3 linked regions of the Arabidopsis thaliana genome follow. The protein of the gene in region 2 interacts with the protein of the main gene of each other region in a pairwise test. Each region holds a gene or a part of one and is shown on either strand. Other genes may lie near its edges.

The links.
Region 1: the proteins of NIMIN-2 (region 2) and NPR3 interact in binary tests that used the Arabidopsis thaliana proteins (3 or more experiments, as listed by UniProt).
Region 3: the proteins of NIMIN-2 (region 2) and AT1G01260 interact in binary tests that used the Arabidopsis thaliana proteins (3 or more experiments, as listed by UniProt).

Annotation. Positions count from the first base shown.
Region 1 is NC_003076.8:18,224,737-18,236,170, forward strand, and holds NPR3 (NPR1-like protein 3), read left to right. Parts: upstream 1-4,031; 5' UTR 4,032-4,582; coding exon 4,583-5,116; intron 5,117-5,204; coding exon 5,205-5,955; intron 5,956-6,029; coding exon 6,030-6,230; coding exon of another isoform or gene 6,231-6,295; exon of another isoform or gene 6,296-6,323; coding exon 6,324-6,598; 3' UTR 6,599-6,842; downstream 6,843-11,434. Other genes in the region: AT5G45113 (mitochondrial transcription termination factor-related / mTERF-like protein), read right to left, coding at 7,541-8,785. UniProt on the Arabidopsis thaliana protein: Salicylic acid (SA)-binding substrate-specific adapter of an E3 ubiquitin-protein ligase complex (CUL3-RBX1-BTB) which mediates the ubiquitination and subsequent proteasomal degradation of NPR1 in response to SA.
Region 2 is NC_003074.8:9,467,190-9,476,624, forward strand, and holds NIMIN-2 (NIM1-interacting 2), read right to left. Parts: upstream 3,851-9,435; 5' UTR 3,701-3,850; coding exon 3,332-3,700; 3' UTR 3,168-3,331; downstream 1-3,167. Other genes in the region: AT3G25880 (NAD(P)-binding Rossmann-fold superfamily protein), read right to left, coding at 2,403-2,424, 2,531-2,686, 2,798-2,844; CRF11 (Integrase-type DNA-binding superfamily protein), read left to right, coding at 8,863-9,435.
Region 3 is NC_003070.9:100,421-112,234, reverse strand, and holds AT1G01260 (basic helix-loop-helix (bHLH) DNA-binding superfamily protein), read right to left. Parts: upstream 3,290-11,814; 5' UTR 2,905-3,289; exon of another isoform or gene 2,830-2,904; 5' UTR 2,641-2,829; coding exon 868-2,640; 3' UTR 536-867; downstream 1-535. Other genes in the region: AT1G01250 (Integrase-type DNA-binding superfamily protein), read left to right, coding at 6,926-7,504; AT1G01240 (uncharacterized protein), read right to left, coding at 10,557-11,552.

The sequences.
Region 1 (11,434 bases), on a different chromosome or scaffold from region 2:
GAGAGGAGCTGCGACTCCGATCATGCTTGTCACGAGGATGGCAACGATTGCTACAATTTTGAGAGGTAAGGCTTTGGTTTTATCGATGCAAGAGTCTGTTGAATCGGTCTCGCATTCTTTTGGAACCGTTGAGATCGCCGGAGAGATTGCGAAGGAGATTAGGAGGAGTACGAGGAAGATTTGATTCATGTGTTGAGTAGTCGTAGCCATTTTTCAATTTTGGTTTTGTTAGTAAACGAAAATAATGTGTTATTTTGCCTCAAATCATATGAAGTTTATGACTCATATATATACGGATTATATATAATGTTCCGGCTTGTTGATATTGACATGCATGGGATATTATTCGTTTTATATCTACGAACAAAAAATAACGCATGACACACGAGTCAATATTAATGTAGATTAGAAGTATAGTTATGTGAAATGTAATCTAATCTTATCTTTAAAATGAACATTTTAAACTTCATATGCATATAGATATGCCAAATATAATTGACATTATTATTTTTTATGTAGTATCATATATTCCCTTTGTGTACTTCATTCCATGGAATTTCATCATGGCCAGGATCACGCCGATCAAGGATTTAAGCTTCATTCATGCTTTTGGATGTATCGGTAACAAGTCAACGTTAGTTACACGATTAAAATAAAGTTTCGTTAATCTATAAGACTAGAAATATATTAGATTCTAAATTCTGAACATATATTTGAAAGAACTATGATACAGTTGTTGATTCAGACCAGAAGAAAAGTTATTAGTTGTGAATTTGGATAATCAAGCTAATGATTATTATATTTATTTTCCATTTTCAAGTATATTACCGAATGAAAACTAGGTTTATCAAAGCTGGGCCAGACCTAATTGGAAACCCCCCTCACAGCATCAGGCCCATTAATTTCTGTAAGCCGAGTTTTGTTTGAGCTTATATGCTTTAGATTCTTTTTTCATTTATGGACGAAATCTTCTTTTCTTTCAGGTTAAAAATTTAGAATCTGATCAGTGATCCATTAATGGTTAGCATCGGGCCCATTAGTAAAGAAACGTTAGAATCTTATCAGTGGTCCTCTGTGACAGCATTTTCAACTCGATCCTCATTGTAATGGACGTTTAATCTGAGCAAGAACTGTCCGATCTCGGTTGCTTTCAATGTTTCTTAGCACATCGGATGGAGTTGTTTGTATATGTCGTAAACGATAGGAAAGAGTACAACCAATGAATGGTGAAATGGTACGGGTAAATCTACAATTTACAAACACATTCTCCAACTGTTAACTTCTACTTCGAGAGACAAGACTACAAATAAACTCTTCTAATTGGATGGCAATCTACAATCGATGATATTTGAACGGAACAAAACTAAGTGGGAAAGCTTCATTAGTTACTTACATAAATAGTTTCATTAAATTGACTTGTTGTATGTTGTTATTGACAAGTAGCTGCGGTTTATTCCTACCAAATTGTTGGTTCTTTACAAAGAAAATAGTTTGTTCAAAACTCTGTATGCCTTTTATTTTTACTTTATTTATGCAAACCTTTTCACATAGAGTATTTTGACACGATTAAAAAACATTGTTGTATATGACCCGGTCCAAGCCACGCCAAGTCTCTTTTAATACACGAAAACTCAAATATCAAAGGTGGAAACGCATGTTATATAAACTTTTTTAATTGATATTATATCAAATTATTCGATATTATAAAAAAATTACATAAGGAGACTTTGTATGATAAACCATATATTCCGCGTAGCTTCTCAGCAGGAACTAGGAAGCATCACCGACACTGACACACCACCCCATTGGATCGATGCTTCAATTTTTATTTCCAGTAATACATTTACATGAGTCATCAAGGTTGTTTTCTCTTCCAAAATATAAAAAAGTTCATCATATACAGGTTCATACATTTTAGATGCTTTGGGACAAATTTAAAAGATATATTCCTTAATATCATAATTTTTTTATATACTTCTTCTTTTAACAAAAACATTAGGTGCCTTTTGAGTATATACAAAAAACAAATTGTGTCCATCTTGTATAGATTTTTTTTTTTGTGCCCTATAAATTTATGTATATGTAGTTATGTACCCTATAAGTTTATATTATCGGCCCCTATAGTTAAGCCGGCATTGACTATATATTTTTATGGAAAATTTAAGAGTTTTCTTTTTGTTTTGTTATTTTTCTTTTTAATTGTTTCATCAAGTTAAGTTTCGTTTCCAATTCCTCTTAGAATGATTTTTATCTCTTGTGTTAGGTCACGCTTTACTAGTTTACACTCCTCTTTAGAATGATTTATCTCTTGTATGAGTTTTGTTTTTGTCTTTTTGTTAAGAATTTAAATATTCCACTAAAATGAAAAGTGTTAGGATTTTCATGAAGTAAAGCCTGAAGTTTTTGGTCTTATGGCAAAAAAAGAAAAAAACATGAAAACAAAAGAAATCAATCCATTGACATCAACAAAACAAATTACGTTTTTGAGTCATAAAGTGATATAACAATTTTGAATAACTACCAATATATATGTCCTCAATCTTGTGTGAGTTCAAGGCTTTATGGGTTACATCGTTATACTTAGTTTATGTAAGAAATTTGTAAATTTGAATGGGTTAAAACTTCTGATCTAAATAACGAATTGGTAGGAAACTTTTTTTTGTCTTGTTAATATTTGATGGTTTTAGCCAAAGTAATACATAAAATAATTATTTAGTGACCAAAACTTATCGCATATTTGATGATTTAAGCCATAGTAATATGATTTGTATTAGTGACGTTGATGGTTTAATATATGATTTAGTGATACTTAGTGAACGAAAGATACAAATTAACATATGGTTTACCAAAGTAACGCAGCGTCACTAGTGACCAAAACTTAGCGTATATTTGATAGTTTAAGTCAAAGTAATATACTAATATGATTTGTATTAGTGACGTTGCATTGTCACTATCCAAGTTTACACTTATATGTTATTTTTTGTTAAAAATATATATTTATAGTTAGAATTCTATATTCGATAGCATTACCGAAAGTCGAAAATTTAATCATAGGAATCATTGCCAATCGAAATAATGCTAATTAAATTTTATTTCATATAAAAATTTGATGAATAAACTATTCAACGACTATCCTTAAAGAGTTTTTTTTTTTTTAATAGTCAGCTAACGCATTTCACCGATTGTATTTGTAGCCTTGTAGGTAGAGTCGAATTTCCGACGCGACTAGAATGCTAGCATAAGAGACTTCACCACTTTGTTACGAAGCCAAGAATCTTCTTGTTTTAAAAAAAAAAATCAAGACAAAATTGTCGTCCCTCATATCTATATTCAATTCATTTCAAAACGTTATTTATGTCTTAAAATTTGGAACTAGGCCACAAAGAATGACTTTGGTCATCACAAAATTATAAATTTAATAAAAATTTGGACCACTATAGGCATAGCTATTGCCTATTATAATCTCTACTATTACTTTATGATTTATCTACTATTCCGAAAGTGTAATTGTTTAATACGTCATCACATTGCAGCAATCCACACACAAGCCACGTCATTCATATGCCGTTCGTATTTGCTTTCGTCACTTCCTTCCGTCATCAATAGTGACGGCTATTTCTTAATATTAATCTTCTTGACTTAATGCTATTTCGTGACGGCATTAATTGGCATATCATTACAAGTTATTTACACCTAAGAAACAAATTAAAACTATTGAATAATATGATGTAAATAAAAATATATTAATGATGTGATATATCGCAGTCAAATAAAAATAGTGATTTTGATGAGAAAAAAAATATGTGTTTATCCATAGATTTGTTAAATTAGAGAAAGATGTGGAAAATGTTAGTGAGTGGCGTCATACACGGAGAACCTTTGGCATCATACACGGATTTTTCTAGTCTTTGTTTTCTATTTGTCAACTTTCATTTGAGTCTTTCTTTATACACTTTATTAGACCATGTTTTTAATTCTAATGCTTATTAATTCATATTATTAAATTTACAAAAAAAACTATTATATTAACTCTCTTGTTTCCTCTGTATCTTCCTTCACATTGAAGCTGTCTCTTTCTTTCACCATCACTTGCACCTGTTGTGTCCTGTTTGTTCTCAATTTCATCATCATTTATCCTTTATATACCTCTCTTTCTTTCTTGACTTTTCCTCTAAATTCTCTTCCTTTTTATCTCTTTGATACATCTCAATTTGGTTCTTTTGCCTTCTCTTTGATCTTATCTCTTACGATTGTGCAGATCTCAATCTCTATATCCTTGGTTGTGTCAGATTCTCTTAGGGTTTATTTTCTCTCCCAATTTTGTTTGATTCCTTGTCCAAAGTTTCTTCCTTTCCTTTTGACTTTTTTTTGTGGTACATTGAATCAGAGGTGTAAGAGTAATAGTTTCATAACTCAAATCCCCAAGTGTACAAATTTTCCTCTTTTGGTTCTGGGTTTGGTTGATTCCTTGTTAGAAATGTAAATTTAGGGCTTTTGTATCTGAAACCGATCTTCAGACTTGTGTAATCTTCTTGATCTTCATGCAAGATTGATAATTCTACAAGAAGAAGAAGAAGAGAAAATGGCTACTTTGACTGAGCCATCATCATCTTTGAGTTTCACATCTTCTCATTTCTCTTATGGTTCTATTGGGTCCAATCACTTCTCATCAAGCTCAGCTTCTAATCCTGAAGTTGTTAGTCTAACCAAACTCAGCTCCAATCTTGAGCAGCTTCTTAGTAATTCAGATTGTGATTACAGTGATGCAGAGATCATTGTTGATGGTGTTCCAGTTGGTGTTCATAGATGCATTTTAGCTGCAAGAAGTAAGTTTTTCCAAGATTTGTTTAAGAAAGAAAAGAAAATTTCGAAAACTGAGAAACCAAAGTATCAGTTGAGAGAGATGTTACCTTATGGAGCTGTTGCTCATGAAGCTTTCTTGTATTTCTTGAGTTATATATATACTGGGAGATTAAAGCCTTTTCCATTGGAGGTTTCGACTTGTGTTGATCCAGTTTGTTCTCATGATTGTTGTCGACCTGCCATTGATTTTGTTGTTCAATTGATGTATGCTTCCTCTGTTCTCCAAGTGCCTGAGCTAGTTTCATCTTTTCAGGTGTGTGAAAAGTCTTCTTTTTTCTTCGGTCTCTTTGTTTCTTAATTCATAGACCTCAATGAGAACTAAAAGGTTTGTGTGCTTGCAGCGGCGGCTTTGTAACTTTGTGGAGAAGACCCTTGTTGAGAATGTTCTTCCCATTCTTATGGTTGCTTTCAATTGTAAGTTGACTCAGCTTCTTGATCAGTGTATTGAGAGAGTGGCGAGGTCAGATCTTTACAGGTTCTGTATTGAAAAGGAAGTTCCTCCCGAAGTAGCAGAGAAGATTAAACAGCTTCGACTTATATCCCCGCAAGACGAAGAAACCAGTCCCAAGATTTCGGAGAAATTGCTTGAAAGAATCGGTAAAATTCTCAAGGCCTTGGATTCAGATGATGTTGAGCTTGTGAAGCTTCTTTTGACTGAGTCAGATATCACTCTAGATCAAGCCAATGGTCTGCATTATTCTGTTGTGTATAGTGATCCGAAAGTTGTTGCCGAGATTCTTGCTCTGGATATGGGTGATGTGAACTACAGGAATTCCCGGGGTTACACGGTTCTTCATTTTGCTGCGATGCGTAGAGAGCCATCGATCATTATATCGCTTATCGATAAAGGCGCCAATGCATCTGAGTTTACATCTGACGGACGTAGCGCAGTTAATATATTAAGAAGACTGACAAATCCAAAGGATTATCATACCAAAACAGCTAAAGGGCGTGAATCTAGTAAAGCCAGGTTATGCATCGATATCTTGGAAAGAGAAATCAGGAAGAACCCCATGGTTCTAGATACACCAATGTGTTCCATTTCTATGCCTGAAGATCTCCAGATGAGACTGTTGTACCTAGAAAAGAGAGGTAATTGACTGAAAATTACTGAATTCTTCTGTATCTTTACTACATTTTTGTTAAAGCTTCTACCTTTTTTGCAGTGGGGCTTGCTCAGTTGTTCTTTCCAACGGAAGCTAAAGTTGCTATGGACATTGGTAACGTAGAAGGTACAAGTGAGTTCACGGGTTTGTCACCTCCTTCGAGTGGGTTAACCGGAAACTTGAGTCAGGTTGATTTAAACGAAACTCCTCATATGCAAACCCAAAGACTTCTTACTCGTATGGTGGCTCTAATGAAAACAGGTAACAAAAAGCTTGCTCTCTGTAAGTCTACCCTTCATCTTCTTATGTTGCTCATTTTCTCTTGACTGACTTCATTACCGTTTCACAATGCAGTTGAGACTGGTCGAAGGTTTTTTCCATATGGTTCAGAGGTTCTAGATAAGTACATGGCTGAGTATATAGACGACGACATCCTCGACGATTTCCATTTTGAGAAGGGATCTACACATGAAAGAAGATTGAAAAGAATGAGATATAGAGAGCTTAAGGATGATGTCCAAAAGGCATATAGCAAAGACAAAGAGTCTAAGATTGCGCGGTCTTGTCTTTCTGCTTCATCTTCTCCTTCTTCTTCTTCCATAAGAGATGACCTGCACAACACAACATGAAACTGCACCATAAGTCAAATGTAATTAGATATCTTTGTTAAAAGGGTTTTTTCTTTATGGATGTTACTCAGATTTTATACAGATGCTTTAGGTTCAGTTTCAATAAAGAGAGATGGATAGATAGATGTACAAGATTAGGAGTGCTGATTAACCCAAAACGTTCTAACTATACGCAATCTTTTGTTTTCAATACAAAAATCTAATATTTAGGTTATCTACAAGATATTCTCAGATACCTGAAACTTAAACAAACAAAGACACTCCACAAAAAGTCAGGAAAAAACATGATCATTTGTCAATCATAGCTATCTCTTTACATAATTACAGAAGATAAGACTACTGGTGGCTAAGAGTAAAGAACAAAAACCATTCTTCCAAACAACCTGTAATAATGCATTCTGAACAGAACTGTCACATGTATGTCCCAGTAAGTAGATGTTAGCTGCTCTCTTTGGCATAGGGTCGGGGCAGGGGCTTGTCTGACCAATACTGTCTATCTGTCTTCTTCAACAAAGAAAGCATTTCAAGTTGCATTATATGTTAAGTGTGCCTTTCCAACATCGTAAAGCAATAGAAGAATATTGTACCAACGAAGGACTGTGCCTTTCCAATTTGTCACTCTGTTCAGTCCAGTCTAAAATTCACTTCACTGAGTTCAGTGGCGTTTCAACATTACGGAGAGCCTTTGTTCTTTCAGCTTTCTCGAAGTCCTTCCTTGTTCGTTTGTTGGCATCTATATCTATACTGATGAGTAGAGAGGTACAATCAAATCCACAGGCGGAAATACTTCACTATGCATCGACATATTCTGTGATCCTCTCCATCGCACTGAGAATTTCCAGGTTTCACTGGTTGTGAGCTAAGCAATGAGAAAATGTTATAGATCAACAGACATCTGCACTAGATTGAAGATAACGTTATATCATTGAACGGACCAGTTAATCAGGTAGATGCTTTCTTTATATTTTCCCAAGTAGCTGGACCTTCCGGGTGGGTATTGACAAAGTATGGCACAATAAGGGTATTAGAAATACCGACAACAGTGCCTAGTGTCAGCCTCGGTATTACTGCATCTCTTTCCCTCAACCAAATGTACATTGTGAATCTCTGATGTATTCTCTTCATACTATAACACAAATATGTTGGGGACTCTATCACGGATTCTATTGGATAAACCAAATAATCTATTAGCATAATGATCTTCTTTTCTATGATATCTTTCGGCCGGTTAAGTATATGAGGCGCCCGCTTAACAAGCTGGCTAACCACATTATAGTCCAAACCAGCCTTCACAAAGCAATCAAATCTCTCCTGTAGCTCATCTCCCCTCCCTTGGAACTTTTTCAGAGCCCTCACCATCTCATCGGAATTCTCTACATACCCTAACTTCAACAAGAATGTCGTCTTCTCTGCATTCCTCGAATCCAGTGAATCAAGTTCAATTCTACCTTTATTAGTTTTAGAAGCTATACTGAACAATCTCAAAGGCTCTTCCTTAATGATCTGACATAACTCATCTCTTCTGATTTTCAATCTATTCCAAACAGCTCTAGGTACTAGCAAAGAGGATGAACAGATATGCTTCATGTGACACTGTAAAAACCTAACGACAAACTGCTTTTCTATTCTGATACATTTCAAGAATTTCAACGCCTCTAAAATTCTTTTTACAGATTTCTCTAATAACATCTCGGAGTTGTCTATCAGTAATTTATCAATTTCATTCATCTGAAGTCCAACTTTATGAAACTTTTCAAACATAATATAAGCTTTATTGCCAGAAGTTTCACCTACCAAATCTGGATACGCTTTTAAAAGATTACTCAACTTCTTCTCTTTAAACCCCACCTTCTCAAGGAGCTCCATTGTCTCAAGAATCCGGCGCCAGTTATATGTTTTTCTAACTGACAAATACCGCGCAAGCCAATCGCATCCTAAGTTTAATCCCTTCAACTTATTTACCACAGAAACAAACTCACAATCAATGCCACCAACCAGAAGCAACGGGCAACAAGTAACAAGCTTAATGACTATAGCCTTTCTAAGAACCAAGATCTCATAAGGTTCAAGTTTCGATGCCAAAACCCCATTCTCGTATACAAAAATCTCTCTTGCTTCCTTATACAAACGACCAATCTTGTCACGGGGAATCCCATAATAGCAAAGAACATGAAAGTTCTCAAACATGGTACTGCCATCACTCAAAGCACCACATTCCGTTGAATGAAACGCAAAATATCAGATGGACGCAAACCCAAACTCTCGAAAAATGGTTCAAACTCATTGATGGGATTGTTGAAGAATAAAGTCCGTTGCTTTCAGTTTCAGTTTGAATAAGTCTTATGACTTTGTTTGTCTTTCAAATAACATCCCTAAGTATTAGGAGATAGACTAGCATTTCAGTTCCGTTTATTTAGCAGTCTGTTGCATTCTTGTTATCTTTGTAACTTGATCTATTTAAGATCTCTATCGTCTATGAGAATAACACACAAGTTACACATTTGTTCTCTGAGTCACTAGTTCGTTTACAACAAGTGGTAGCAGAGCTTTTGTTCTTAAACGCTCAAAGAAATGAGTGAGAAAGATGGTTTGAGCATTCCAAAATTCGACGGAGATTACGAACACTGGGCAATGCTCATGGAGAATCTCATGAGGTCCAAGGAGTGGTGGGATCTCATTGAGCATGGAGTTATGCAGCCAGAGAGAAACGTGATCCTGACGGGAGCCCAAAGAACAGAGCTTGCAGAGAGTAAGCTCAAAGATTTGAAGGCAAAGAATTACTTCTTTGCTTCAATCGACAAGGCAACTCTGAAGACGATTGCAAAGAAGGACACAGCTAAAGATATTTGGGAGTCCATGAAAACAAAGTACCAGGGGAACAAGAAGGTTCAAAGCGCCCAACTGCAGAGACTGCGAAGGAACTTTGAAGTGTTAGAAATGAAAGAGGGAGACACCATTGATGGGTATTTCTCAAAGGTGATGGTGGTGGCAAATGACATGAGAAACCTTGGTGAGAGCATGCCGGATGCAAAGATTGTTGAGAAAATCCTGAGAACATTGGTGGAGAAATACACATATGTGGTGTGTGCAATTGAGGAGTCAAATGACATCACAGAACTCTCAGTGGATTCATTGCAGAGCTCACTACTAGTGCACGAACAGAAGCTGAGTAGACATGGAGATGATGAGCGTGCACTTAAGATTGAGGGCAGGTGGGATTCTAGTGGAGGAAGAGGTCGTGGTGGACACCAAAACCGTGGAAAAGGAAGAGGAGGATATCAAGGACGTGGCAGAGGTAGCACAAACTTCAACAAAGAAACAGTGGAGTGCTACAAATGTCACAGACTGGGGCATTTCAAATTCGAATGCCCGGAGTGGGAGAAGACTGCTCATTATGCAGAACTGGAGGAAGATGTTCTGCTCATGGCGCATGTTGATATTCAAAGAGCAGGAAACGATGAGGTCTGGTTCTTAGATTCGGGGTGTTCGAATCACATGTGCAGCACAAGAGAGTGGTTTGTGGAGTTTGACTCAACATTCAAGCATAGTGTTAAACTTGGAGATAACAGGAAGATGAGTGTAGAAGGAAGAGGAAGTCTCCGACTCATCATTAATGGGGCAGCACAAAAGATAACAAAAGTTTACTATGTCCCAAAGTTGAAGAACAATCTCTTGAGTGTTGGGCAGCTGCAGCAGAAGGGACTGAGAATCATCATTGAAGATGATGTGTGTGAGATCTGGCACAAGCAGCAGAGAAGACTACTCATGTTCTCAACTATGACAAAAAACCGGATGTTTGTCATACAGGCAGCAGTGAGAGGAGACAAAGAAAAAGAAGAAGGGAACTGTCTGCAAGCTGTTTCAGATGAGAAAGTTGAGGAACTGTGGCATAGGCGACTTGGACACCTGAATCAAGGAGGAATGCAGAGTTTGTCAGAGAAACAGATGGTGATAGGGATGCCTATGCAAACAAAGACCAATGCTGCAGAGTTGTGTGATGTATGCATGAAGGGAAAACAGAACAGGCTTAGCATTCCAAAGAAGAGTTCATGGAGAGCAAGTCGGGGTCTCCAATTGGTCCACACAGACATCTGCGGACCAATAACTCCCACATCAGAAGGTGGCAAGAGGTACATCATTAACTTTATTGATGACTATAGTCGTAAGTGCTGGACCTATTTCTTGTCAGAGAAATCGGAAGCTTTGAGAGTGTTCAAAGAGTTCAAGGTGGCTGCAGAGAGGGAACTCGGAGTGAGTTTGATATGCTTGAGATCAGACAGAGAAGGCGAGTACAACTCTAATGCGTTTCAGGAGTTCTGTAAGGAACATGGGATTAAAAGACAACTCACTGCAGCATACACTCCTCAACAGAATGGAGTTGCAGAGAGGAAAAACAGGAGCCTGTTGAACATGACAAGGTGTATGCTGTTTGGGATGTCAGTACCAAGGAGATTTTGGCCGGAAGCTGTGCAATATGCAGTACACATATTGAATAGAAGTCCCTCTAAAGCTCTTGCAGATGCTACACCAGAAGAAATGTGGAGCAAGCATAAGCCATCAATCGATCACCTAAGAGTGTTTGGGTGTGTAGGGTACGCACTAGTGCCATATGAGAAGAGAATTAAGTTGGATGAAAAGAGTAGAAAATGTGTGATGCTGGGAGTGAGTAAAGAGTCAAAAGCATACCGCCTGTATGACCCTGAGACAAAGAAGATCATTATCAGTCGTGATGTGCAGTTTGATGAGAAACTAAGGTGGAATTGGGAAGAGGATCAGCAAGAAGACTCACCTAAATGGGAAGAGAGTGATGCTGATTCTGAAAAAACTGCAGAGAAC
Region 2 (9,435 bases):
TTTCAACATATTTTCCAAATTATTTTATCTAAATAACTTACTTATTTGCAAATTAATTAGTCTATAAAACATATCTTTTTTTGGTCATAGGTTATTATTGTACATACTTATTAAATATTTTTAATTTTATTGTATTACATATTATAGATACATACTTGAAACTACGATCACAATAGATATAAATAAAAACGATTTTATGAAAGAGAATTCTCTCTGCAACCTATCTCAGTCTGGAAAATATTAACCTGAGAAGATTTGGATATCGCAATCTTAAAAAGTTAAAATTATGTCAAGCTCAGATAGCTGTAAGAAAGAAATTTCTTAATTACTAAATATTTAATCTTTTTACCATGTGTAGATGATTGATTAGGATCTTATAAACTTGTACCCAAAACGACTTTAGCACCCAAAAAATAAAAGGTTATATCATTTCATTAATTTGTATGCTCATGTATAACACGTCATTTATGTGGCCAATATGGACGGTCCATGTAATCCAGACAAAATTGTTCGAGTTGTAATTCTTTGTTTGGTATAGCGTTTTGTTGGGAAGCAACCGAAACAATCGTTTTCGAGCAAAGCCATTTGCAAAAACTATGAAAGCCTTACGAAAAGAGAAAATGATGATAGTCAACTATTATAATGCTCTAATAGTTGGACCCTAATTGTAATAGATTTACGTATAAAAAAAAAGACAAATTTTGGATAGACCTTGTATATCAGATTTTCCAGCACATGTATAAAGCCGTGCAGGTCTATGTACATATCTCGATACACAGCTATATGTCATGCCAATACATATCTCGATTAAGATTAGCTTGACTAGCAACCTAAGTCCACAACTACTACTATTGTGAATGACTAGACTTTTAACTCGTTTAATATATTGTTTGTGTTAGAAAGATATAATAGATTTTAAAAGAAAAAAAAGATTTGAGAATTATGTATATAAAACAAAAAGAAGACATGTTAATTTGCTTCAATCATATCATTTCGTGTTAGTAATTCTATATCTTATCATCCACTTTTGACTTATTCAATTAACTTAAAGTATCATAGGAAAGAACGAGATAGCACGTCATATTAAAATGGATGGATGTGATTCACACTTGCACAATTCTCGTCTTGCGCTAAATTTCTGTCCAATTTCGTCTGCCAACCTACAACTTACAAGGTCCAAAAGCCCTTTAATATAATTACGCATTATTAGTATTTTCCAATGTCAAGAAAACAATAAATGGACTATAACTCTCTGCTTAATGCCTAAAGGGCTAGAACAATTAGTCAATTAGTGGATAGACGATTTTTTAGAGGTTTAAATAGTTTTCAAATAAAAATAAAATATATTTCTGTATTAATATAACATAATAAAAACAAGTTAATAGAAATAAATTGTATATTTTAAATTAATCAAAATACATAAGCAAGAAATATGAGTATTCAGTATTCACTAATTTTAAAATACATAAATTTAAAAGCATTAGGCTAAATTCACCTATCTTACCAAAATCTATCTAATACAATTAATCTGCATGATAACTGGATAATCTGCTAAATCTAACTAGCTACTTAAGAGGTGGTGATCTACGCCTAGAACGTCTAATCATGATTTAGGAGATTTTAAGCGGCTACACATTTACAACATAACATATTATAAATATTATATTATAAATAAAATTCATAGAAAACTATCTCTTAGAAAAATAAAAATATGAAATTATAAACAAAACTTAGATAAAACCATTTATAATTCATAGCAAACAATATATACAAAGCTAAAACTTATAATTTAAATTGATATAGTTGGAAACAAACAATATATACAAAGCTAAAACTTATAATTTAAATTTATATAGTTGGAAACAAACAATATATACAAAGCTAAAACTTATAATTTAAATTTATATAGTTGAAAACTAAAAAATAAACTAAAATAAAACTTATGGAATTTTAGACAGCCAAAACGGTTATTTAGATATCACATAAACGTCTAAAATCTAGATGACGATCAACTAGGGATGTCAGACGGGCGAGCACGCGACCAAATGGGGGGTCCGTGATGGCCCGTGCTTCTTTTCCATAAGTGGTGGTCCGGTCCGCCAACGACCACATGCGACCAATCGAAGCCCATATTCGCCTCGCAATGTCCATTGGTCTAACGGTCTGGCCCGCAATCCTGTTCTGTTCTAGTTGTCTCTGAAACACACTGTGTTGTTCTCGTCTCTGAAACACAGTGTTGTTCTCGTCTCTGAAACCTTCGCTTATGGAGAACTTCTGTTCTATTGCATGCCTTTGAAGACAAGAGACTTTGACCGTAATAAATGGTTATTCCACAAGTTTTGTAATTCTGTGTTATCACCAAACACAAACTGTTCAGTCTACTCCATCGTTAATATCTAGGTTCACCATTGAATCTTCCACCAGCTATAACCAAACAACGACGAAAAAGAGATGTCATAACTATTTAACTACACAAATAGCATCTAAAAATAGCAACAAAAAAAATCAAAAACTAGTCATTACTTAGTACCTATGAAATTGTTTCCAAATGTCTCCAATTAGAACCTTGGATCCTTCAACGATGGTGATACTACCAACACCACCAAGGACGAGATTCTTCAAGGCATTGGAACCAATAGGACCACAATTGAGTAAACAGATACTCGCTTCTTCCAAAGTCCCTTGACTTCACCTCAAAATCCTAATCAATCAACGATTACTTCATAAAATTTCCTCCCAACAAGATTCGTTCGAAGATCGATAGAATAATACAAATGTAGAGTTCGAAGAGACTAACATAGTATACATGAGTTGACGATCGTACTTGGCTTTAGGTTCCATCATTGTTAGAGATGAGAGATCATATGTTCGTAAGTCGTAAACAGAGGAAGAAGAACAAGCGCGTCGTCCACAAGTCCGCAGACATTAATAGATAAACCATGACTAATCCACAATCCAAAGTTCCAAACGCACCCAACCCGCAATGCCCGCTCTTTTTTTGGACTCCCTTATACAGGCCCATACCTACTCTGCAATATTACTAAACGGGCCAGGCAAAGGCCCAATTGATATCTTTACCATCAACACTTTTTTAAAACATTGATTTTAGTAAAATTTATGTTGTTTAGGAACGTCAAACGCTTAAATAGCTTTTGTTTGACTTGTAGTTTTGCAAATATATAACTTCTCTTTTGACGTATAAAATAAAACTGAAGAATCTGAAATTTGGATAACATGTTAATAATCTTCTTTTACCATTTTTTTCAAAAGTATTGTAGTTAAAAAAAAATTGATTATTGTAAGAAGGGGAAAAACATGAAGGACTACAAGTCTACAACGATAAACTAACGCTGTCTGGTTCCGGTTTACAGTTCAGATCCAAACCCAAACCCTGTAACCCGACCCGATTAATCTCATCGAATTCTCCGTCTCGAACGCCGTTACAATCCAACGAGTTTCTCAACCCAAGATTCTGACTCCGTTTCCTCTTCTTAGACGGTAACTCTCCCTCAGCAACACCGCCGTTAACTTTCGCAACCGTTCGTGTCGCCACGTGTACTCTCCGTAATATCTTGAAAAACTCATCCACCTCTTCCTCCGTTACCGTCCGAACAACTTCCGTCGACGGTTTCCCTCTGTTACCGTCAGATTTTCCGTTATCTTCTTCTACGCGTTCTTCTTTCTTCAAAGAGTTGTTCATGTTAGCCAGAAGAAAATGTTAACGGCGTCGTTTAAGCTTAGTCAAGAAAAAATTATTTGCTGATTTTATTTTGCTAAAATTTATAATGAAACTCTTATAGCCGTCGGTGTGGAACTTAGACGGTCGATATTGTCAACAACTAAATAAATTGGACGGTGGAGATTGATGCTAATGACATCATCATGCGATGTTTTAAAGCGTAAGTATCATGACGTCACACTTTATTGACTTTTGGAATAAAGGAAGTCCATGTGTGGAAAAATTGGTATCGGCTATATTTTTAGAGTATATGTAAGAAATAACTTTTGACTTCAAAAGAATACACAAAATAACCTTGGACCAAATAGTATTTGTCGGCTACAGAAATTTTGGCAATAGTTAGTCTATTTTAGCCTTTCTCTTTCTTCTTCCTTCTTTTGTTTCTTTTTCATCTTCTTTACGAGACTTTAGCCATGGAGTTCTCTTTCTCTCTTCATCTTTAACACAATTCATCTTCTTCAGATTCACCATGTCATTTTCTTTTTCTATTTCTCTCTCCCTCTCCTAAAATAATCTTCACCACCTCTCATAAAATATATCATCATATCTCTTTATTTTGTTCACCTACATGTTCTCTCTTTCTTTTTCCATAGAAATCTCTCTATCTCTCATTCTTTATTTTCTCTTTTTACCTGAATTTTCCGTCAATGTCGTTGTGATATAAGAGATTAGATTTGATTTTAAAACAAATGTCTGATTTTAAAATGCATGTATTTTAAGAACAAAACATGTTATTAACACTGATATATTAATATTTGTCATGCTATCCAATAAAAACTCATGAAATAAATAAATATTTGTCATGTTATCCAATAAAAACCCATGTAATATTGTAACAATTCTATATGTTTTTTTAAACTTCGCGATCTATAAGAGAATTGCATGCTTTTTATAAATATTTCGTGCTATTTCTGAGAAACACATTATTTCAGAGAAACATATATATCGTGTATATATATTCTGTATGTATTTTAAAGAATTGCATGATTTTTGTAAATATATCATGCTATTTTAGACAAATACATATAAACTTTATAACTAAAGCCAATGGCATTATTGTAAAAATAAGTAAACACAAGGATATTTTTGTATTTTCTCTTTTTCAGAAAATGTTATTTACCTAACTTTTCTGACACAATGTCATTCTCTCAATTCTTTTCCATTTCATAGTTAGTTTCTAATATTACCCATATTTTTATATACATAGAGATCTATATTTTTATAATTTAACAAAGACCAAAAAAATTTGGCCAAACAACAAATAAATAAGGAAGACTAAGAACTTGTGAATTGTGATCATCGTTAACGTGGGGAAGATTTTCTTGCGATTATTATTCCTAGTCTTATTTATTTATTTATTTCCACTATCAATTTAAAATGACACGTAAATTTGTAATGATTTTTCGAATAATGTAAGCACTAATTGATATTGGTGTTTTAACTTTTAACAAAAGAAAACAAAGATCTACATATGGGCCTAAAGTAAAAGCCTTTTAGTTAAGTACATTATAATTGGGCTTTATATCTTAACAACGTCGAATCAATTGTAGGGCCGACGTGGGCGGCTAAGCTGTTTCCAACTTTCCAACTTCCGACCAGCTCCACTTGTGTCTTTCGCTCTCTCTACACTTATGTTTTTTTTTTTTCAACTCTCTGTTTTGTCTGACGTGTCCACTTACTAATAATTTTTGAAAAAACTTTCCACATATAAAAATTGCTTGATGGTCGTCGTCGATGGCTGCATTATTTATGAATGTATTAGTCCACATGGTGAAATGTCTACATTTTAAACACCACGTGACACTGATAATCCGACACTTGTATGTGTGAAATCAATGTAATGATCCCTTACTCTTTCTTTTTTGTTTTTCTTTCAATAGAACAAAAATATTGCGAATTTATCTAATAATGTTTCTGTAATACTAAAATTATTTTAAAAGTTTTTATTTAATATATTGTTAATTTGTCTAAATTTTGTCACGACCGTTTTTCTTCATGAATAGTCTTTGACGTAGTTGAACATCCATTTTGTATACACTGTTATAAATTTGCACACATTTTGTGTTTCAACAATTTTTAAAAAGTATATATGTAGTGTACAACTTTACTTTATTATTGCTTTACTTTTTTTTTGTCTATTGTCGTTGAAAAATGACATCAAATGAATCTGTTGCCTTCCTTACGTAGGAAACGTTTTGTTGAAATAGTAATAATTAGTAAGGGTCATTGTATATTGGTGGAGAAAATGTTTTTCTTACTTCTGTAATTGCATCGTCTTTTCTTCACGTAGGGTAGGCAATCACATGCATTCAGGCGTGCGTTCACTGTTTTCTTTTTTCTTCTAGCTTTTTGTTTTCCTACTATATTGTTGCAGAAAAATGTTTAGTTTAAACTAAATTAATTATCCAACTCTTTAAAGTGGCAATCTTGTAAATAAAAAGGGGAGTAGGTCTGGACCAATGTGGCAATGCGAGCGATATGTTAAAAAAGCTGTGGAATAAACAAAATTTTGGAAATTAGGAGTTCCTTTCGTTTTATGGAATTGAAAGAAAATGACACTTTCAATATTTTTTTGGTATTTCTTTAGTAAAAAATGTTTTAAATTTTTAATCGATCGAATCGTAATGAACCTTACAAAAAAATCATAAAATTTGAAGTTGATATATAAATTTTAATCTAGAGATGTTAACTTTTTGGATTAATCTGGAAGCGACCTGTTTTAAGTTGTTTCAAAACTATTAGGACCGAAACCAAATAGAATCGAGCAAAAAATGTTAGAAATTTTTATTTTATTTTGTGTTCTTTAGGTTAACCAAATGTTCGTTCATGGTGTAAGATATCAAATAATGGATGAGCTTAACCTCTAAAATACAAGTTTAAATTGATCGGTTCAAATCGGACCGAACTTAAATGATTTTGCAAGTTATTAGAGTGATCATGATCATGTTATGTTACGGAATATTACAGAGTAACTTAACTTAAGCACTGACTTAGTTGACCCAAAAAGAGACCATTGACTTCATGAAATGCTTGAGTGTGGAAAAAATAAAACAGAGTTATTCAAAAACGTTTTGAGTTGTGAATTATTCTCATTAACATTGTATTTATTTGGTGCACAAAAAAAAAAAAAAAAAAAATTGTATTTATTTATACCCACTAAAGATGGGAAGAAGACTTGTAAATTATGATGAAAAGTCCCTCGGTTGGTAGCAACTAGCAAATGTGGGGATGGAACAATCCTCCACGTTCGAAATTGTTCTTCTTTAGCACAATCAAGATACTGCAAAGTAAACTACCTCTAATGTAATTAATTAACCTCACAAATTGTTATGTTAATTAATGGTATTGAATTATACTCGTCGATCTTTTGTAAGATATTTTTGTTGAATGCCGAAAAAATTATCAGAATCTATAATTGATGTTTTTGTTTAAGAGTCAATTTGGGAGAATGAGTTAAATTACTATAGAATACAAGTATACATCACATCAAATAATATGAATAATTCACTAAACAATGAAGGAGTAGTTACTAGTCACTCTCTTTTATTTATTTTTAATTAAAAAACGAATATATATGTTATTGTAGTTTAATACTATTAATAAAATAAAATTCTATTACTTCACTTAGCTAAAAGACCCACAGTGCAGTAACAGTGAGAAGTAAATTTCATGAATAATGTATTACAATACAATAATAACTTGTTCGATACAAAGTATTATTCCTTTCACAAACTAAATTTATTTACCATATATCCATAATATAATTCCAAAAATAGTATGTTTTATTACCATATTGTAAAAGGGAAAAATGTCATTTAAATCATCACTTTACCATTTTCGTTGGTTTAAAACATAAACTCTCGATTTGGTGATTTAAATCCTCAATTTTATGTTGACGTTTAATTTAATCACGAATTCTCGTTAACTAAGCCAATTAAGACACATCGTTAAAAAATTTTCTAATTAAAATTTTTGAGTTTTTCTCTATTTTTCTTCAGAATCTCTTATCTTCTTTGGAATTTCTCTTCTTATTCGAATTCAAAGTAATCTTTCATCTTTAGGTCGATTGACGATACCGGGAAAAAAAATTGTGTCTCAATTGGCTTAGTCAACGAGAATTTGTAATTAAATTGAAAATCAACATCAAATTAAGAATTTAATTCACAAGATCCAAAATTCATACTTTAAACCAACGAAAATGATAAAGTGATAATTTAAAAAACATTTTCCTTATCCCTATTGTAAAACTATTTTCACCAATCTTAACCGAAAAAATGAAATAAAACTGTCCAAAAAAAAAAAACCAAATGCTAATAAAAAACGAATTTAATTTCCCATCTTCGTTTTTTTTCTTTCTTTTAATGCTTTAATAAATTTTTATTGAGATCTGTGTTTGAACAATCGTTTCTTAAAAGATTTTTAACATCTTTTTAAATTCCTCGGTCTCTTAAATTTACCAGTTACATAACTTTCTTTTATTTTTCCGACATAAATTAAAAGTTTTGTCTTTGGTAATAGAGAGGCAGAAAAATCTTGGCCATAGATTTGTCATCTGTTTTCGATTCGTTTTGATTCTTTACTTTATCTTCTTCTTCTTCTTCTTCTTCCTCTTTTTGAATCTTTTATCTTCTCACTTTTCTTTTTCACTTTTGGGAAGCTCGAAGAGCTGAGAGGAGTGTGAGAGAGAAAAGGATCTTTGAAGTCGCCGGAATAATTTGTTTAACCGGAGCTCTGTCTTTGACTCTACGCTTCTCTCTCTTCTTCTTCCTTCTTCGTCTTCTTAATCGCTTTCTGCTCTGTTTTTCTCGTTCATCAAGCTACATCTACTAGCTCTCTCAGTGATTGATTTCTCACAGTTTCATCGATTTCCATGCGTTTAAGACCTAAAAGGTAACTGGGTTTGCTAAAGTTTGTTACTTTGAATGGTTTTTATAGTTTCTCTGTTCGAATCTGAAGTGGGTTGTTGTGTTTTTGCTGGTTATTGAAACAGGACTTGTTCTGGGGTAAAGGACTTTTCTTGTTCTTGAGAGAGTTCATTTTGAGGCTTTTCTGGGAATTTTGAGAGGTTTTTTAGGGTTTAAGGGGGTTTGGTTTTGAATTTCGCACACCAAGTGTTCGATAAAATGGCTGAACGAAAGAAACGCTCTTCTATTCAAACCAATAAACCCAACAAAAAACCCATGAAGAAGAAACCTTTTCAGCTAAATCACCTCCCAGGTTTATCTGAAGATTTGAAGACTATGAGAAAACTCCGTTTCGTTGTGAATGATCCTTACGCTACTGACTACTCATCAAGCGAAGAAGAAGAAAGGAGTCAGAGAAGGAAACGTTATGTCTGTGAGATCGATCTTCCTTTCGCTCAAGCTGCTACTCAAGCAGAATCTGAAAGCTCATATTGTCAGGAGAGTAACAATAATGGTGTAAGCAAGACTAAAATCTCAGCTTGTAGCAAAAAGGTTTTACGCAGCAAAGCATCTCCGGTCGTTGGACGTTCTTCTACTACTGTCTCGAAGCCTGTTGGTGTTAGGCAGAGGAAATGGGGTAAATGGGCTGCTGAGATTAGACATCCAATCACCAAAGTAAGAACTTGGTTGGGTACTTACGAGACGCTTGAACAAGCAGCTGATGCTTATGCTACCAAGAAGCTTGAGTTTGATGCTCTGGCTGCAGCCACTTCTGCTGCTTCCTCTGTTTTG
Region 3 (11,814 bases), on a different chromosome or scaffold from region 2:
TGTCTCAATATATAACAAATCATGGAAGACTAGTAGCTAAGTTTTTGTTAGAACGATTAATTATCATTTAAGAGAAGAAAAAAAAACAATCTAACATGTATCTCTCTCTTTGTGTGACACTTTTATGATCTGCATGCTTTGTTCATGTTCTTTTTAATCGGTTTATTAGGACTGAGTTAGCTTAGGAAATCTAGAAAGAAACATCGCATTACCCTTTGACTCACAATAGAGAAACATATTAAAAACGTATTTACTGCAATCTAAACATCAAGCGGTTCCATGGTCTAGCGGTTAGGACACTAGACTCTGAATCTAGTAACCCGAGTTCAAGTCTCGGTGGAACCTATTTTTATTTTTGTTACATTTTCCACCTGTTTCTCTTCTTAAAACTTTTGTTTTCCCCAGGCGATAACGGTTTATGTTAGTTTGAACACTAAAAATGGTGTGCACGAACATCATAGTGTTTCCTCTTGTTCACAAGCAATGAATCAGCTGTGTTTTGTTGTTCTTGAGCAATTCCGTGACCAATCCATAACACTTATCTGACTTGTCGATTAAACACTTCACCAAATCCAACACATAGGACATATCAGAATGAATAAAGACTGATTCATGAGCTAGTCTACGACTTTAACAGATACAACATTATCGTTAATTACTTAATTCCCAGCTTTGTCCACTGTAAAACGAGTAAATGATAATGTCTACTTTTGTCAATAAAACTTCTAAAATCCTAGTTTGGAGGATTCTTACAGGTATATAACCAAAAAAAGGTAAAAACAAAAGATACCTAGAAGAAAAAAAGAACCATTCAAAACCGGTTCTTGATTACAAACTTACTTCCACCTTCTTCTGTCTCTCAAAAGGCTATCTACCTGATGATGTTCTTGACTGAACTGAATTTGTTTGCTCTCTAGACAAGGCCGATATCAGCTTCTCTTTCGTTAATTCTTCAGATTTGACTACAAACGTATGCAACACTGTGTCCTGAGAAACTTCCAGGTTCGAGTTTATCACTTCTACTTTACTCTCTTCAAACGCATGGAAGATTCTGGAAGCCGGATGAGACTCCAACGGACAGTTTATCCTCACTGTGACATCTTCACCTGAGGTTTGAACATTTATATCTGAATCCAAGCTGATAGGTGGATTTGAGCTATACCCTAACCTCTCTCTCTCTGCTTCCATGACCTTTAGCTTCGCGTGAAGCTCGTTTATATAAGAAACCGCGTCTCCCAACAAGGACGCTTTGTCCATCTTGGATATGTTGGGAACAACGGATCTCAGAGCGTAAAACCTCTGGTTAAGCTTCTCACGCCTCTGCCTCTCTGCTTCTACATGGTTCAAAGCTTCCGCTCTTCCGTTGGCAGGTCTCCTTCCGCGTTTTCTTGGTCTGTTGTTACCAGATTCATCAGCACCCACTGCATCTGCCCATTCCCCTCCTCCTTCTCCATCTGAATTATTCTCTGAAGCCCTTGAACTCGCAGCAGAGAAATCTATCTGCATTTGAGCAGGAGGAAGCAGCCTCTGCGATGATTGCTGCAAAGGTAAAAACTTGAACTCATCCGTGCTTGGAACTTCCTTCACGTTGATTGGCCTCGTGTAGTTCTCAGGTTGAACCCAAGTAGGACTCAGAAGAGTGTTGTTGTTGGTGCCTGGGTTCGAAAACATAAACCTGTTCCCATTATTCGGATAAGCATCTAATCTCTTGGGAGCTCTATCATCCATTTTTCTAACCGTGAGTTTCTCTCTAAACTGTCTATGCTGTTGCTGTTGCGGTGGTTGTTGTTGTTGTTGTTGGTGATGCTGATGATGTTGAAGAAACCCTGAATTGTGCAAATCCTTGCCGAATATCTTCGTTCTGTTATCATCAATCTTTTCAGCTACAGTAACAGGTAAAGCAACAGCTCTAACCGGAGGCAAACTACTGGTAAACAATGATCTTATAGACAAGATTGAGTCTTCACTTTCAGGCAAACATGAAGTTGAGCCTAACTCAACAACACCAAGATCAGTAGGAACCAAAACAACAGTCTGAATGCCAGCAGATTTAGCAAGAAACGATCTAACGCAATAATCAGAACCCGAATTGACGACATCGGATAACCAAACAGGTTTAGCAGAGGCAAAACACTTGCCTGGACCACCTTCACCTCGAGGGAATGAGAAATACATAGAAGAAAGAAGAAACATCTCAGTGTCAGTAACTCTATCTAGTCCTAAAGCACAGTTCTCTTCTTCTGAGCCACCAAACAAATCATGAAGCTTTTGCAATACTCTCTTTCTCATAGTCTGATGCGTTTCTTCTTCTCTTCCCATACTTAGAATCCTAACGATCTCTGATTTCTCTCCTTCTTTAGGCTCTCTGCAATATCCATCGCCCCAACAGAGAACCAAATCTCCGGCCTTTGACCTGGAAATCTGCCAGAAAATGGCGTAGTTCCAAGAGAAATTAGAAGCGTTGGGTCTCTCGACGAGATCCGAGAGCTTGTTCTGCAGATTCTCGTCGCTTCCTAGAGTCATCAAGAGATTAGCATTGGAAACAGAGTTGGAAAGCAAGTAATCGAGAGCTCGTTTGCCCAGTAATGACGCAACAATCGCTTTATCGTCCTCGTTCCACACTAGGCGACCAATATTCATCTCTGCTTTCTTTTCTTTTGTTGTTTGGATCCCAACAAAAAGGAAAGACTTTTAAGAAACCCAGATCTTCAGAAATCGATTCTTAAGTCAAATGATAGGGTTTAGAAGTGTGACCCAGATGCAAATATACGGCGGAGTATAACAGTTTTGCATGGAACACCCAGAGATCTCAGATCTTGCCCCTATTTTCTTTAACAACAATTAAATGACAAAAATCAAACTCCACCAACAGAAAATGAGGAATTGAGAAGAATATATTTTTACCAGTAAAGAAGATTTGAATCAAGTCTCTTCCACCGAGATTTTCTCCTCAAAATCAGATTTTTGAGAATCCGACCCAAAAAAAAACACAAATTTTAAATCTCCCAAACCCCACCAAAATGGACAAACAAATTACCTAAATTCCCCGAAAAAGAACCCTAAGAATCCAGAAAATAAAAAAAGATGTATCAGTTTCGCTGTATCGGCTCCCTGTTTTGTCGCCGTGGCCAATTGAATGAATTCAAGGAAGAGAGAGAGTCCGACGCATGTTCTTCGTGCTCTTTTTTATTAAAAGACCAAACCCCAACAAACAAAACAAAAAACAAAACAAAAAGACTTTCATCTGAACCATGGTTAGCTACTTAACTACACAATTGAGTTTAGAAACTTAAACCGGGTCTGGTTCGATTTAGTCTTTGTCTCGAGTCTTTGATACACGACGATTGAAAACCCCTTAGATTATGTCATGGTTTTTGTCAATAATTGATTGACATAATTTTCAATTATGGGTTTTGATTAATTAAAAATTTGCAACAGATCTATCTCAACTGGTGTAGATCTAAACAAATACTATCTGACAACTCGAGATTAGATTCTCATGTTCATGGAAATAACTAAAGGGGAAACCAAACCCAAATTTAGAAGTTTGCTTTCAATTTTTAAAATTTTTGTTTACATAATTGCAAAGTATGCCAACTAAGACCGGTGGTCAAGCACCGGGAATTTTGACCAAATCAATTCACATTCAAGTTAGGCTTAAATATTCGGTTTTTGTTGTGTTTTGTTTTGTTGCAAAGACTAAAGAGTTGTTCCTTAAGTTTCAAATGCTTTCAGAATTATACAAAATAAAAGGCTTATTTTAGTTTAGATCCTTGATTATTATTTTTGGTAATATTATTGATGGTGGTTCTACAACGGGAGTAAATAATTTTTTTAAAAACAAAACAAAAAAACAAATTACTAAATAACTTGATAAATGTTGACAAAACAATTCAACTCCTTTAGAAGAAAGGAAACGCCAAGTCGATAGAGAGGAGGGCGTGAAAAGCACGTGAAGTTCACGTGGATTTAGGAGAGATGACCAGAATGAGAAGAACGTGAGATGCATTTAATTTTCTTTGGATCTCTTTTTCTTTTTAATTTCATTTTCAAATGCGCCTGCACAGCTCTGCACTTTCTCTTCTGTAACGTTTTTTTTTTCTCTTTCTCTTTTTGTTTATTCTCTCGCAACCACAATTGAATTGTAATATATTTATAGCTTTCACTCTTTAAGTCATAAAATTATCATCAAAATATAAACTACGGCTCTGCGAAAATGAATATACAATGACTATATTATTTTGGAAAAATCTTTAACAAACGATAAAGTTAAAACAAAAAATTAGTATATATAGTAATTATGGAAAATGAAGTCACGAGTGGGTATAATATATGTATGGCGGTGAGAAACACACAGCAAAAAGTGGGGACCGCGTGATTCACGTGTTTAAACTATCCTTTATTCGAGACGTTTGGGTCCCATTCCCATCTAAGTCAAACAACGACGTCGACTTACAATATCTCCAAGTCGTCAAGAATATAATATGGGCCGATATTACAATACTGGTTTTCTATGGAATTCTTGTAATGTTGGGCCACATATGTGCTAGGTCAAACGTGATATCAGCCTTTTTCCCAAACCTTAATAATGCCCCCCATCTATCCCTTATCTAGCAATCAGAATTAGAATGGGCTGTTCAACGGACTCAGTCTTGAATTCTTAAATCTCAATCTTATCATATATTTCATTGGTTTTGTTTTACCACAACAAATCGGCCTATTAGTCCAGTTAACTCTATTGTAAGAGTTGATTTAATCCCGGATAAAGTAGTGCCGGTTCTTGGTGAACTTATTCTGAATGCCACTAAACCTATCGCTTTGTTTAAATTTGTACTAACAATATATCAAGTATTCATTTATCTTCAATAATGATCCAAATTGGTTTGATTTTCACACGTGACTGTAAACTCTAGCTTCAGAAACATACTTGCAAGTTGAAGTTGTAACAATAGTTTTTCCTTAATTTTGTTACCTTATAAAAAAAAGAAAATCCCATTTTGGCGTTTATAGTTGATATATTCATGTTACAATGAATTCCGTGTTTAACGTCAACAAAATCGTCACCTTTTTGGTAACAACCAAAAAAAACACAAATCATAAGATGACTACTTTAATCTACCAACAACTCACGAAAAGGAAAAAAGAACCGACCAAAACTTAAAGCTCATCGTATGAACAAAAAAACAAATCTCGAAGCTCAATAAAAAAAGAAATATATATATACATATATACGTCACACACATATACATATATATTTTCAGTTACTTACTGTTTTAAAAACGAACAAGTGTTAAAATTGTTTACACGAAAGCACCCGGAGACAAAACTGATAGTAAAGCCGTGTATGGTCTCATCTGATGTAAGAAGAAAGTGAGTTTCGTAACTCCTCTTGCTATCTATTTCCCCAATTTTTTCAATAAAAAAATTGATTGCGATATTAGTATTAATTACTTGAAGTAAATTTCAATGGTTCCTTGTTAATATGTAGTGACGTGATGGGTTAAAATGTGGAAACCATAGACTTCAGGTGATATTTATCAACTGCCCTTTTGCTTAAGGGATTACAAATCACCGTACGAAGACGTGAATTTTCTTGTGATACCTTAAATTTTTCTTTCCTTAAGAATGATAACTTTAGCTAGTTGTCATTTTTTTCTTCTTGTAATAATCGTACTACATCATGGGAAAAGTTTATATTCTTTTGTAATGGTAATTATAGTAGCAAAATGCAAAATCATGAAAGACATTTTTTTTGAGTAGTACAGATTTATGAGTGGTATAGACTAGAGTTTAGACTATGGTCCCTTCAAAAAATAATCAATGCTAATTTTTAAAAGCAACCTATGTGGACCTGCATTGCCCAAGTATATCATATATATAAAAGAAAATAAATTAATAAGTTAATAATTAGGAAAGGAAAAGGGTTTCTTTGTAGATATATTTTCACGATCATGGCATGCATGCACACAAAATTACACCTAACAAAGTGATTTCATTATAATAATAAATTATTGTAAGCACACTTATAATTTTCCACTGTCAGATACTTATTTTAACTTTGGCTGAAGCTTGTACTCAAATTTTGGAGTAAAATACTTGAGTGTTAATCTTAATATGCAACGTGTATACACAAGTTCACTACGATATGTCAAGATGTGAGTAGGTGTACTAGTACTACTGTACTAAGCTATTAACATTACATACTACATAATATATTTTTAATACCCTTTTAGACTTTAGTTTCATAATCTTTTCAGACATAAGATTTATTTAGTCTCTTTCTTGCCATCGACACTTATTTTTACCAATTCGTTGAAAGAAGTGCTAAAACTATAGGACACAACGTCACCAGTACATGAGCTATTGAAAGCATTTCCCCACCACCACTCCCGATTGCTGGGGAGACAAAGATTTGACATATATACTTTTTGGTTTAATTTGACATATAAAGTTAATTAATCATCGGCGGTATCAGTAGCCCCCATGTTCTTCAATTTTGTTTTTATGCAAGATCGCGCAATTTTTATTTTAATAAATCATCTTTTTGGTACTAAAACTATCACTGATTTAATTTGATTCAGCTGTTTATTGTAAGAAATTTACAACCCATGGACAAACTACAGATATAAAATAGGGAAAATCCTTCCCACTGATTTCTGTATATTATTTTTTTGTATAAAGAGTATATCATTATTATTAGTTACGGCATATGAAATAGAATTACGCACACTACGTACTACTATCCATTTGGCAGTAGATTTGGAAAATTACATTCCGGTAATCGAAAGTCTATGATTTAAATGTACGTTGGGGGCATTTATGTAAATTCAGATAATAAACAGTAACGCTTTTGGTTAGAAAATGGGATTGGATGAGATTATAAATGTAGATAACAGTGTGACTTAACCACATAACAAACTCTTTAATGTCACCACAGAGAATGAAGCTATCATCACCACCAGTTACCAACAACGAACCAACCGCCACCGCTTCTGCCGTTAAATCTTGCGGCGGAGGAGGTAAAGAAACCAGCTCATCGACCACGAGGCATCCAGTGTACCACGGAGTTCGCAAACGCCGATGGGGAAAATGGGTTTCTGAGATCAGAGAGCCCCGGAAAAAGTCTCGGATTTGGCTCGGATCTTTTCCGGTGCCGGAGATGGCTGCTAAGGCCTACGACGTGGCAGCGTTTTGTCTAAAAGGTAGAAAAGCTCAGCTGAATTTCCCTGAAGAAATCGAGGATCTACCTCGACCGTCCACGTGTACTCCCAGAGATATCCAAGTCGCAGCGGCCAAAGCAGCCAACGCCGTGAAGATCATCAAAATGGGAGATGATGACGTGGCAGGAATAGACGACGGAGATGATTTCTGGGAAGGCATTGAGCTGCCTGAGCTTATGATGAGTGGAGGTGGGTGGTCGCCGGAGCCTTTTGTTGCCGGAGATGATGCCACGTGGCTTGTCGACGGAGACTTGTATCAGTATCAGTTCATGGCGTGTCTGTGAGTGTTGCTGTCGATTGTGTCGTATTCGTTATACGTGTACGTTGTATCGTTATTGTGTTGGCTCACTTAATTTAATGCATATGCATGTATATTTTCATTTATTTGTTTCTAGTTTATTGTTTTACGCGATTAATAATTAGATACCTGTTTCTCAAGTTAGTTATCAGGTTTGTACGCATCTACAAAAATACGTATAAGTGTATGTTCTTATATACAGTTTTTGTTTGCATAAGTATTGCTACTTATTCTAAACCTTTTTATTTGTGCAACTTTACTAACTAAGTGTCAAAAACTCTTTAAGGAATTTCTTTATTTATTGAAAACATTATGTAGCTACTGAGTACTGATTATAAGTACAGACTCTACAGTAATGGTTTTTAATCATTTGGAGCTTTTAACTTCTGATTATTATTTATGTAGGGAAAGTATAATTCGATACCTAGCATAATTCCTAGTTTGGTCCAATTTCTATCGTTGTTCATGCAATAGTAACTTCTCGGACCCATATCCATATTCAATATGAAATATTACTTTAAAACTACTATCGATATTTATCATATTAATTTGTTTTGTTTTTTCATAGAAAACAAAAAAAAGAAAGACTCCTTAAATGAGTCATGGGGTTCGTGATAGATGTTCTCCTGATATGTGTTTGTGACAGATATACTATTATACTAGTATACATCTTTTTTTTTTTTTTTTTTTTTTAAATGTGAATGCAATAGTTTTTTTTTGGTGTGTCGATATATCGACATTTATACTTGTAACTGTACGGTTGGCAATAATTTCTTCTTCCAATAATTTTTGTTCGCTTTTCAGTTTTCCCCTGATAGTGAGCTATTTAATTCCAAGATGTTAATAATATCAGTACTCGAGCTTCATTGATACTTATAAATGTCGCTTAAAGTTACTCAGTACTCAAGCTAACCATTAGCGTCATGTATTAAATATGGGATAAATATCAGGGGAAAGGACGATTGTGCCCTCTTCAAGCTGCATGCTTCATTTGACATTTTGGACTTAACCTAACTCTTCGACAGTTCGAATCACCAAGGCTTCGGAGTCTTTTCGTACCAAGAGGAAACGGGCGGGCGAGAAAATTTGTCACGTCGTTTATCACGACACTACATGCTACTTTGGTTCCTATTTAGTATAATCCAGCATTCTTTTTCTTGAATGCCAAAAAACACACAACGCAAAGTCGCAAACAAGCCACATAATTTGATAATTTTAACTGACAGGAATACATCCGTAGAGCGATTTTCTTAACGGTTGTTTCCTAAAACATTTGAAGTTCGACCTAAATTGACCACGTGGAAACACATGGAAATTGTGAACTCAATTCATTTTCCAGAATATATATATGATTGGTATGAATATACGTGTTTAAGAACTGAACCATATATATGTTTCGTCCAAAAAAGAAGCATCCGTATATGTACCTCTTGTATTATCAGTTCGAGTCCTAATTAAGCTCGACACTTGATCAAATCCTAAACTCGACTCTATACATGAATATTTGTATTTCATGTTTTTCTCACAGCATCATACAATTCGGTATTTCCGTCAAACAATTTAAGTCAATTATATGTAAGCTCATATAAAGATGTTTTAAATGCATTTTCGAGAATTCAATACCACATTATAGGTTACTGAAGCAATTCTTTTAGAGAACATGTTAGTTAATCAATCTTGAATTGTTTTGGGGCTATTTGACCAGTTAGTCCTTAAATATTTTGACATGTGCATATTTTAATTAAGCTGTAGTACTGTAACACTAATAGTCTAATAGTATGTTCGTGTAGGACACACGACAAGACGAGGACGCGGAGATGGTACAAGCATAGAACCAAGAGTTGTCTGGGTGGGAAATTTGAAATTATTAACATTTGTCCTTTGTATCGTCATTATACAATTTGGCACCACATAATAAGATATTTAATACAACACGTGTTTTAAAAATAACGGCTAAAACGATACTCGAATTTATTATTTCAGACAAGGATTTGTTGCAACAACAATTTAGTGCTATTTAGTGGTTTGGAATCGATCATAGCATCCAAGAAAAACGAATTATGGTTTATTATAAATCGGGAAATTTTTTGCTTCATTTTGAACCATAGTAGTAGTACTCAATGATGAACAAAACATCTTTCTGCTGGAAATTCAATAAAGCTTCTTACAACCATTATTCATAATAAATACGGAGATATAATATCACATTTGACCCCAACAGATAGAGGTATATTAATTGCTATCTTAGATATGAACAAACAAACAAAAGAGATATGAATTTTAAAGACATTTGATGATGAAAACATGTATTTTAGTCGTCGGTGCTAGTAATTGACGTCTCATCATCCAGACTTGCCTATTGTATGATATTTGAAAGAAAAAAAGAAGAAGTTAAAACACATATGTTTTCAATGTTTTGGAATTATCTTTTAAAGTCACATTTATCAAAGGAATTCGTTATACAGATTTGAATTTTGGGATTTAGTCAAAAAGTTTTGTATATATTTCACAGAAGCATGCATAAACACAAACTATTCAAGTGATCACACTTTTAATTTTAAACATCCGTGATAAATTTTAAAGCAACTAAGACCATAATCATTAAATCTTATTCCACCATGCTTAGAATTTAGAAGTTCAAAACGCAAATACTATTATTTTTTTGGAACCCCTAAAAAGAAATTATAAAATAAAAAAGTTTGGGTCTGAAAAACATATGGGCCTTAATTAGAAAATTGGGTCAAATGAGGTCCACTTGTAGCAAACTTTCAGCTCAAATATAAGATTTATTTGATTCCAACATTCTCAAGCTTCTGATGAATTTCCAAGTTTGATGCTTCTCAATTTTGTGTAGCAGAGAGAGAGAGAGAGAGAGAGACCCTAACCAAATAAACTTCTACAGAAGATTAAATTTACACAAACATCACACAATACATACATTAACAAAATATACACACAATTTTAGAGGTAAAGTGAAAAGTTATAAAACCTAAAACTCTTGAAAAGATGAGTGACCAAAGAGAAGACATTTCAAGATTCTAGAAGGGAAGCAACCATCCAACAGTCCAACCTAAGAGCAAACCAGCACCAATGAGACTAAACCCTAATGCAAAAGCCATCATATATCTCCCAGTCTCACCCTTTTTCTTCTTCTCCCCTCTCTGTTTTCTCTTCTTCAGATTCATTCCTTTGACCTGTTCCTCTTGTTCTTCTTCCTTCTTCATCTGCAGATAAAGAGCTTCCATTTCAAGAAGCTTTAACCATTGCTTATAAGCCAACATCTGACTCGCTTGTTTCAACAAGATTGTTATCACACGGTCTTTCTCAGCGCAAGCTTCTCTCGCTGCTCTCTCTGCTTCTCTTGCCCTGGTTTGAGAATGCCTTAGTGCTTCTAAAAGCTGACCTTTGCTTAGATCATCACTTCTAGGGGAAGACATTGGACTCGTGTTCTTGCTCTCTGTGCTACCATTGTAACTCAAAGATCTCTCAAACCGATCCTTCCAAACTCCTTGCTTCCATGGCGATTTAACCGCTGTTTTAAACCCTTTTTCTCCACTCGAGGAGTGAATACTCTTGTGGAGTTTTTGAGGTGGAGGAAGATCACAATTCTGGATATTATGATCAACCGATTTAGTCGCCACCATGAGAGCTAATTCATCTTTATCCGTCGTGCTTCTCCACCACGGTGTTGTAGCGTCAGCTTTCTTGCTAATAAAGCTGTAGTCTTCTTCTTCTCGTATTCCGATTAAGTCGACAAATTCATGCAATTTCTTGCATTTGGTATCTTCAAGAAAGGAGTTTGTAACCTCCTCATCAAAACCAGTTGATCCCTTAAGCCACCATTTGGTATCACAAGAGAAATCAGAGGAATCTCCAAAACTTCCGGAAGAAAAGCTGTTTTTTTCGGTGTTGCCCGAAGAAGATTGTTGGTGTTGGCAACAAGCTAACCTCGGAGCCATCTTAGCATCCTCATGAACAACAAAGCAACGACTAGCTGTTCTTTGCCACAATGCTCTTGCTTCAGCTGCTCCCATTATTTCATTAAGACACAACAAAAATCCTAAAAAATTAAGAGAAAAGAGAAACACACCAAATCAAAAGACTGTTCTTTTTTCACCCAGATCCTGTAATATAAACATAAAAGACATGGGAAGGATTAATTCGTTTTTCTTGCTACTCATGAGATTGCTTCTAAGCAAATGATTGATTCATAGATAAGCCAATGATTTAAGGAATTTACATTAAATAATACACGCAACGTCTGGGAACCAAAATATATTCAATCAAAACCAATTC